2 linked regions of the Bombyx mori genome follow. The protein of the gene in region 2 binds, or shares a complex with, the protein of the main gene of each other region. Links are inferred from orthologs where the notes say so. Each region holds a gene or a part of one and is shown on either strand. Other genes may lie near its edges.

Region 1 (4,223 bases), on a different chromosome or scaffold from region 2:
TTTTCCAGGTTGTGCCCATGAGCCCACCTAATGGTCCGCGCGTAGTTGAACAGCCCCGTAGGCTACCGAAGATTAGGCAGTGAAAAATAAAAACTGTTGAGATTTGAGGTTTCGGTCTAAAACAACAGGTTATCAAATGTTTAATATAATAAGATCAACTCTAAATGCATGCAATTTTAAATATCTAAAAAGAATAAAAACAAGGTTACAATAAGTGTTTTTAATGTTATTACCACTTTTTGATTGTTACCAACCACTTTGTTACAAAATCATTAAAAAGTATTAAGAACTTACTAAACTTAAACTACACTTAACTACACTTAAAACTATGTATTTTGAGAGCTCCCTGATTGACTGAAGGTTGAACTATTTAAATTGAGCGATGGTGCTGTCTTTTTCGTTTTCTGTAAAACAAAAAGTTGATTATTTGTTACAAAACTGTACTGCAAGTACATATAAGAATAATTGCACTCAGATCTTCAATTTTAAAGCCCACCCAAATAACCTTGCTAAGCATCTAACGGACAACCAAATGACAACAAGAAGACTGAAGAAGAGTGTCTTCAGATCTACTAGATCCAGTGTAGATTCACTGATATGGACATTGTGCGTGTACTGCCTATCAAATTATTTTTGTCAAAACTACAGTTGAAAGTCTAAAGACAGCTTACTGTAATTTACTCTATAAAACAAATAAAAAAATCTTCAATACCGAATTTAAGTTTAACAATGATATTGATAAGACCAGGTTTACAAACTCCAAATTACCGTAGTTACTAAACCTTAGGTTAGCTGAACTCACTGCACACTCACAGTTTTAGTTTTGGTAACACACATCATCATCACAACAATGTGATTTGCCCTTCTACTAGGACACGAGAGTGAAGTCTAGAACAGAAATCCAAGGATCCTTCAGAGTAGAATGCATAAATGTGTCACGTATAAGATGGTCCGAAGGATGGTACATACATTCAGAGATATTCGTAAAAAGGACAAAGTGGAGATGAAAATACAGAAGGATGTGTCTAAAGGAGAGTATATTACAATTTGTCACACATGTTCTTACCATTTGCATCCTTAAGAGGTTGTCCATAGCAGCAGGTAGAAGAGGTTTCACTGAGTTTATTTCCATCATTGTTAAATGATCTAATCTGCCATAGCCACCTGAAAATGTCAATTATAAATGTCCTGAATTTAACTTATGACTGAGTAAGTCACATTCTATATTTTTTTCTTATCTTAATTTAAGCATACCATTCTGGTGTTAAGTTGTTACCGAAGACCACATATCATCATTATAGGCTTTCTGATCCATGCAGGTTTACAATATCATCAGTTACAATAAAATAAAATATAAAATCCTCTCAATTCAAAAATCTTTAAAATGTAAGTTAAAAGTACTTAAAAGTAAAGTATTTTAAAGGAATCATTACAAACCTCCAGTTTTCATCAATGCATCCATTGATGTTCGTAACTTAGACATTCTTATATCCCAGATGTCTTTGATAATAGTCTTTATTTCTGGTGCATTGGGAACATCTTCGGCAGCTGAACCAAGTATCAGTTTGGCTTCCACCATATAGTGTTCATTTGGCATCTTTGTGAAGAATCTGGTAGTTTGATAATTTTAGGAAGATTTAATGTGAAAACTTTGACTACTACAACTACTTGCTTTATCTTGCTGATAATTCTCAAACGCCATTTAATGATAGATTTTATATTTACACACCCTTTCATGAGTACTGGCAAAGATATATTTATTGACCAATGAACTTCAAGTTTTTTAATCATGTTACAATTTGAGATTTATTAACAGGTAGACCACTAATAGTTATTGTTTAGTATCAGTGTTAGAATGGATGGCTCTAGAAGGTATTTATAACATAAACCATAATAATAAAATATACTTTTTGATTTAAAATTAAGACATGGAAGTTGTATAAACAAAATATTAAATTGTATCTGGAATAAACTGGACCACCTAGAAAGATCAAAGTTTTGAAACTGGTGTGTTTTGTAAAAAACCAAATTTATTAAATATATTGACAAACCTGGAACGCTTTTCCTCTTCTTTAATATTCTCCAAAACTTCCACGTCCATCCAGTCAGGAGGGATAACATGGCACTTTTGTTTCTGCTTTAGCATGATAGCCAGCCAGAGTGGTACGTTCACAGGTAAACCAGCACGAAACGGACCAAATTCACCGCATATCAAGTATATTTTATCATGGGTAAAGTTTGGTGTTATACTGATTATCCGATTCTCACCAATAAACTCGATTTCATAAGGTTCCATTATTATTTTTATGGTTTTAATAATTTATAATCATTTAATAATATACATATATTTAATTTAATTCATTTTGGTTAAAAATTTAGGAATATTACCTACCTTTATCATGTTTTTATTTATCATATTTTTTTAGGTATTTTATATTATGACCTGGTAACTAAGACTTTTAAGTCATGTCTTATTTTAATTTATACTCTTATTTTTATGAAAAATGATGAAATGAAATGAAGATAATTAATTTGAGACATTAATTAACTGGGATGAAATCAAATGAAATGAGATGAGATGATATGGGATGAACTATAATCTCAGTAAAATGGTGGTCATTTACTGAGATTTTTTCGTTGGACTTTTGGAGGATCCCGAGAAGTGACGTCCAGCGGCTTTGTTTCATTTTCCCACATTTTTGCACTTTCACAGATATTAAACAGTTAATAAACCACCATTATTACACATATAAACCCAAGAAACACTAAATAGACAAAATAAAACAAAACACACAACTTCACTCCTCGCGTTCCCGCCAAAAAGTCGCCTTATCTTTATCACTGATCTCAAACGTCATAGAGCGAGATTAGTAGACTTGCCAGCTAAAATCGGTACATTTGTACTATTTTGTACCCAAAATCGGTATTAGTCAAAAAATATACAATATTCAATCAAATGCGTTTATTTATTGAAAAAAAAACTTACATACTAATTTATAACAATCATATTTAAGAATAAATATTTTTTATACCAATATTGTTTGGCCATAGCTGCAGTCATCGTTGAATTAATTTCAAAATCATAGCAATTAGCTGTATTATAGAGTCGTTTTGCATGTAATAGACCAGTGATTGACTCAGTAGACAGCCTATTTCGCTGTTTTGTTTTCAAAAGAATAAATATGCGTTCAACGTTAGCGGATGAATAGGAAAGTGATAAAATATTAAGGATGAAATTAGACAACAAAGGAAACATTTGAGTTTCATCGCCACGTTTTAATAAAGTTACTTCTTCCCAAAATAGTTCTACATCATTAGGAAATGTTTTGATTTATTCACAATTTCTTAAAATGCGCTACTCTATCAATTTCCTGGAAATCATTGCTCTGAACAATATTGGGAAAGAGCCTACTTTTAAGTAGTATCGAAGTAGTCTTGCCAATTTTAACATGTTTTGGATCAATAATGTCTAAAAGTGTCAAATCGGTAGAAAAATCGGGAGAATTTCCATGTATACTCTGAAATCGTAGAAAAATCATTTTATTTCGGTATTTCAATAGATCAGTGCCCATATCGGTAGATATACCGAAAAATCGGTAGGTTCGAGACCACTGATATTTACTCTTGTTTATAGAGCTTAATTGTTTGACTTTGAAACTCAAATAGTAAGTGTTCTATGCTTTGACATACTGACATAGTGATGCAGATTTTTTGGCGGTAAGTGACCACCATTTTACTGAGATTATATTTCATCCCAGTTGATTAATGTCTCAAATTAATTATTTTCATTTCATTTCACTCCATATTATCATTTTTCATAAAACTATGAATATAAATTAAAATACGAAAATACGAAAAATGACCTAAAAGTCTTAGTTACCAGTTCATAAAATCCCTTAAAAAAAAGGAAAATTGGCGGGAATAACGTTTAAATAATACGACTTAGTAGATCGAATTTATGAAATAAGTTTCATAAATCCAGTGTTTTAAATAGCTGTATGAATGGCGATACTGGAAGTAGGTAATTAAGTTTTAATTTACATGTTTTCTTTAAATTTGCTTATTTAAGCGTCATCTATGCTACATTTAAATAACTGACATAGATGGTTTGTTTTCACTAAAGCTGGCGTAGTTCAGATGATTGAACTAGGTGGCACTAAAATAAAAAAAATCTACTTTAAAAAAAATCGTAGTTATAGAACAATTTTAAGTGGAATCGTAAA
Region 2 (3,624 bases):
TAGTGGTACATACCTGTCGGGATCCAATGATGCCCTACCACTATTATATTGGTATCCAGAATAGCATTATAAATGTTAGTGCAATTGTTTGTAATGACGGACATTATCAAGGAGGCCACAAACACCAGCGTCCCGGGCGCCATTAAGCAGGCCGAATGCAGGCATCATTGGAGGAAGCTGGTGCAAAAACTGGACCAAGGTGGTCACGACCCTCAGTAATGAGGAAACGACAAAGAAGAACAAGAATTGTTTGTTCTTCGTTCGTGTTGAAACACGGAAACAAATTTGTATTATTTATTTTGTAATCGTTTTAGGTTGGTTTATCCCAATAAACATCTCATTACAATGAGAAACTTTTTGTTGTTTTTAGAAAAAGTTACACGGCACTAGAAAAATTAATTGGCACTGAATCTTAAATACGCAAGCAAAGAGATGGCTAACAGCTAGTGTACTATAAGGATTATTGATTTAGGGAGTGTTCGGATACAAATGGTTTCACTTAATATTTTGGATTATATTGTGTAGTTTTAATTTTTTTTTCTTTTTATTGCTTAAATTCAAAATTTAATCAAAATCAACTATGTGGTTTAATTAAATTTAATATTTGTTATTTTCATTTTATTCTGACATTTCAAACATAAATAGTTTTTGTGGTCATAGACAATTACATTTCAACATTTTAATATTGTGCTAACCCCACTTCATCATTTTTTATCTGTGAAGTAGTTTGTTAGTAAGGCTGTTGCAGCATATTATGACAAATTTTTGTTTTTAATTTTTAAGTACACTTACTCTCCGTGTAGGTGTGGGTGCCGGTACATTGGGAGCTATATGGTGACCTCGGAGGTCAGCCCTCTGTCGTGCTGGGGTCATGATGCCTCTCATGAGCGAGCGAGGAGTGCTTAGAGAACTTGGAGTGCCGTAATTAAGAGGAGAGCTCATGTCTATATCTGTGCCTGGAAATTATTAATATAATAAAACTAGATTTATAGTTATAAATAACCTCATATCACAATGCATTAAAAAAAAAGGCATTTATGATTGTAGCATTACAAATTCAAAGTTACAGTAGGAAAAGCACTGTTTTCACAATATAAAAATTTCAATTTACCTATGGGACTGGATGCAAGAGCTCGAGCAGGTGATGTTCCTGGAGCTTCACGAGGTGTACGGGGTGTCCGAGATGGACCGGGAGCTGCTCGTGGTGTACTTGGAGTGCCATCTGTTCAATTTAACAACAAATTATAATTTGTTAAACTTTTCAAATGAAGTGTTAAAATTTGGAATTTGCAGGTTGCATATAGCTCAGGACCAGTTATTGCAAACTTAAAGGTATGCCTATATCTATCAGTGAAAGCCTAGGGGTTGGTGAAATTTAACTGTTGTAACCTTCTTTTCCATATTCCATTATTTGAAATATACTTCAAACACATTGTCATTTTTGCTACCTATCATTATTATATTTTTATGCTATGTCTTGAAAACATTGTTTTATTATATTGGCGACGAGTTAAAAGAAATTAAGATGAACGATGAACAATTCGCATTATTTTTACATGCACAACAAAACCAGCAAGAGCAGATTTTACAAATCTTGAAATTGTTGGTACCAGCAGTTTGCAATACAACAGCCAAGAGCGTGACGAACGACTCTTTTACAAAACATGATACGGATAACAAGATAAGTATAATCAAACATTTCAATATGGATAAATACAATCCAGATACATTCAGAATTGACGATTACATTGATTTTTTCGAAAACAAATGCAAAATTCTTGATATCGATAACAGCGACTTACAGAAAGATTTGCTTCTGAATTTACTAACACCAGAGATATTCCACGAATTAAAAGTAGCTTTAACGCCTGATTTCGATATAGCTACATACAGCGAAATTTGTAACAAATTATTAGACCTCTATCGCATAAAAACGACGAGGTATAGAGCCTTAACAGAATTTTGGAATTGCACTAGAGAACAAAATGAAACGATGGAACACTATGCAAACAGATTAAAAGGTCTTAGTCGGGATTGTGGCTACACTAATGACTTCCTGGAACGACAATTACGTGACCGCTTTGCCACTGGATTGAATCATCCAGATTTAGAAACCGACTTGAAACAAAAATGGCCTGATTTAGTTCAAATGGTAGACGGAATACCACGAGAAGTAACCTTCCAACAAATTTTTACAATCTCTCAATCAAGAGAACAGGCAGAACAAGACACACCAAGAACAAGTATTAAAAAAATAAATAGGAGCAAAACCAAAACCGTACCATTACATCAAAATACAACACGAAAATTAAATCCAATGCATTGTTTACGCTGTGGAAAGAAAGAACGGCACAGCCTATCACAGTGCTCAGCCAAGGACCATATGTGTAAAGAATGTAACACGAAAGCACACTTTGAGAGTTGTTGCATTAAGTCTGGACGGGCATACATCAGCTATTCAGAAGGGAGCCGAAAATCAATTAAAAAAAATAACAAGACCTCATAAATCCTCAACATCATCATCATCATCTATCAGTAATAACAAGGAAGAAAGCGATGATGAAGTTATCTGCAGCGTCTTGGGTACACGTAAGAGAGAATGCAAACAAATCGATGTACGCATCAATGACATACCTTGCACTATGGATTGGGACCCCGGCTCTGCGTATTCAATAATAAACACGACATTATGGAAAAAATTAGGATCACCATCTTTACAACCCGCCCCGAAACTTAAGGCCTACGGTAACACAAACTTAAAAACAAAGGGAATTACAAAAGTAACAGTCGAAGTCGACGGACTGCAAAAACTTCTACCTGTGGTCGTAATGAAAAATGCCAAACCAATGTTATTTGGTTTACATTGGAGTGAAGTTTTTGAAATGGAATTTCCGAAACCAGTATACTCCATCAAAACATCAACACCGATGACTCTTAAACAAATATTGGATAAACATGTACAACTCTTTGATGGAAAACTAGGAAAAGTTAACAATTATTACGTAAACATACATGTCAAACCAGAAGCTGAACCGATCCACCTTCCTGCACGGCCTATAAAATTCAGCATGAAAAAGAATATAGAAAGGGAGTTAGATCGTCTGATCTCAGAAGGGATAGTGGAAAAGGTAGATCCTAATATTACACCTATTGAATGGGCTACACCCACAGTTAACATTCTGAAATCTACAGGGGAAGTTAGGATATGTGGAGACTACAGAACTACACTTAATCCAGTACTTATTAAACACCTACACCCAGTTCCGATTTTCGATCAACTACGCCAAAATCTCGCAAACGGTAAATTATTTTCAAAAATAGACCTTAAAGACGCATACTTACAATTTGAAATAGCACCAGATTCGAAAAAGTACTTGACGTTGTCAACCCATAAAGGGTATTTCCAATACAATAGAATGCCTTTTGGAATATCGACTGCTCCTTCAATTTTTCAACATTTTCTGGATCAACTGCTAGGTGATATCACCAATGTAGCTGTATATTTTGACGACATAGCTATAGCAGGGAAAGATCTTTCAGAACATTTACAAACTTTATCTATTGTACTCGATCGCTTACAAAACGCTGGCCTAAAAGTTAACTTAAAGAAATGTAATTTCTTAC

The links.
Region 1: DNA replication licensing factor MCM4 (region 2) and probable DNA replication complex GINS protein PSF2 share a complex: the UniProt entries of both Homo sapiens proteins name them as parts of the CMG helicase complex. The link is inferred for Bombyx mori from reciprocal best matches to the Homo sapiens genes MCM4 and GINS2.

What each region holds. Positions count from the first base shown.
Region 1 is NC_085116.1:1,524,565-1,528,787, reverse strand, and holds probable DNA replication complex GINS protein PSF2, read right to left. Parts: upstream 2,830-4,223; 5' UTR 2,297-2,829; coding exon 2,052-2,296; intron 1,611-2,051; coding exon 1,438-1,610; intron 1,165-1,437; coding exon 869-1,164; 3' UTR 405-868; coding exon of another isoform or gene 327-404; 3' UTR 206-326; downstream 1-205. UniProt on the Homo sapiens protein: Required for correct functioning of the GINS complex, a complex that plays an essential role in the initiation of DNA replication, and progression of DNA replication forks.
Region 2 is NC_085125.1:2,555,164-2,558,787, reverse strand, and holds part of DNA replication licensing factor MCM4, read right to left. Parts: intron 1,223-3,624; coding exon 1,112-1,222; intron 957-1,111; coding exon 793-956; intron 1-792. UniProt on the Homo sapiens protein: Acts as a component of the MCM2-7 complex (MCM complex) which is the replicative helicase essential for 'once per cell cycle' DNA replication initiation and elongation in eukaryotic cells.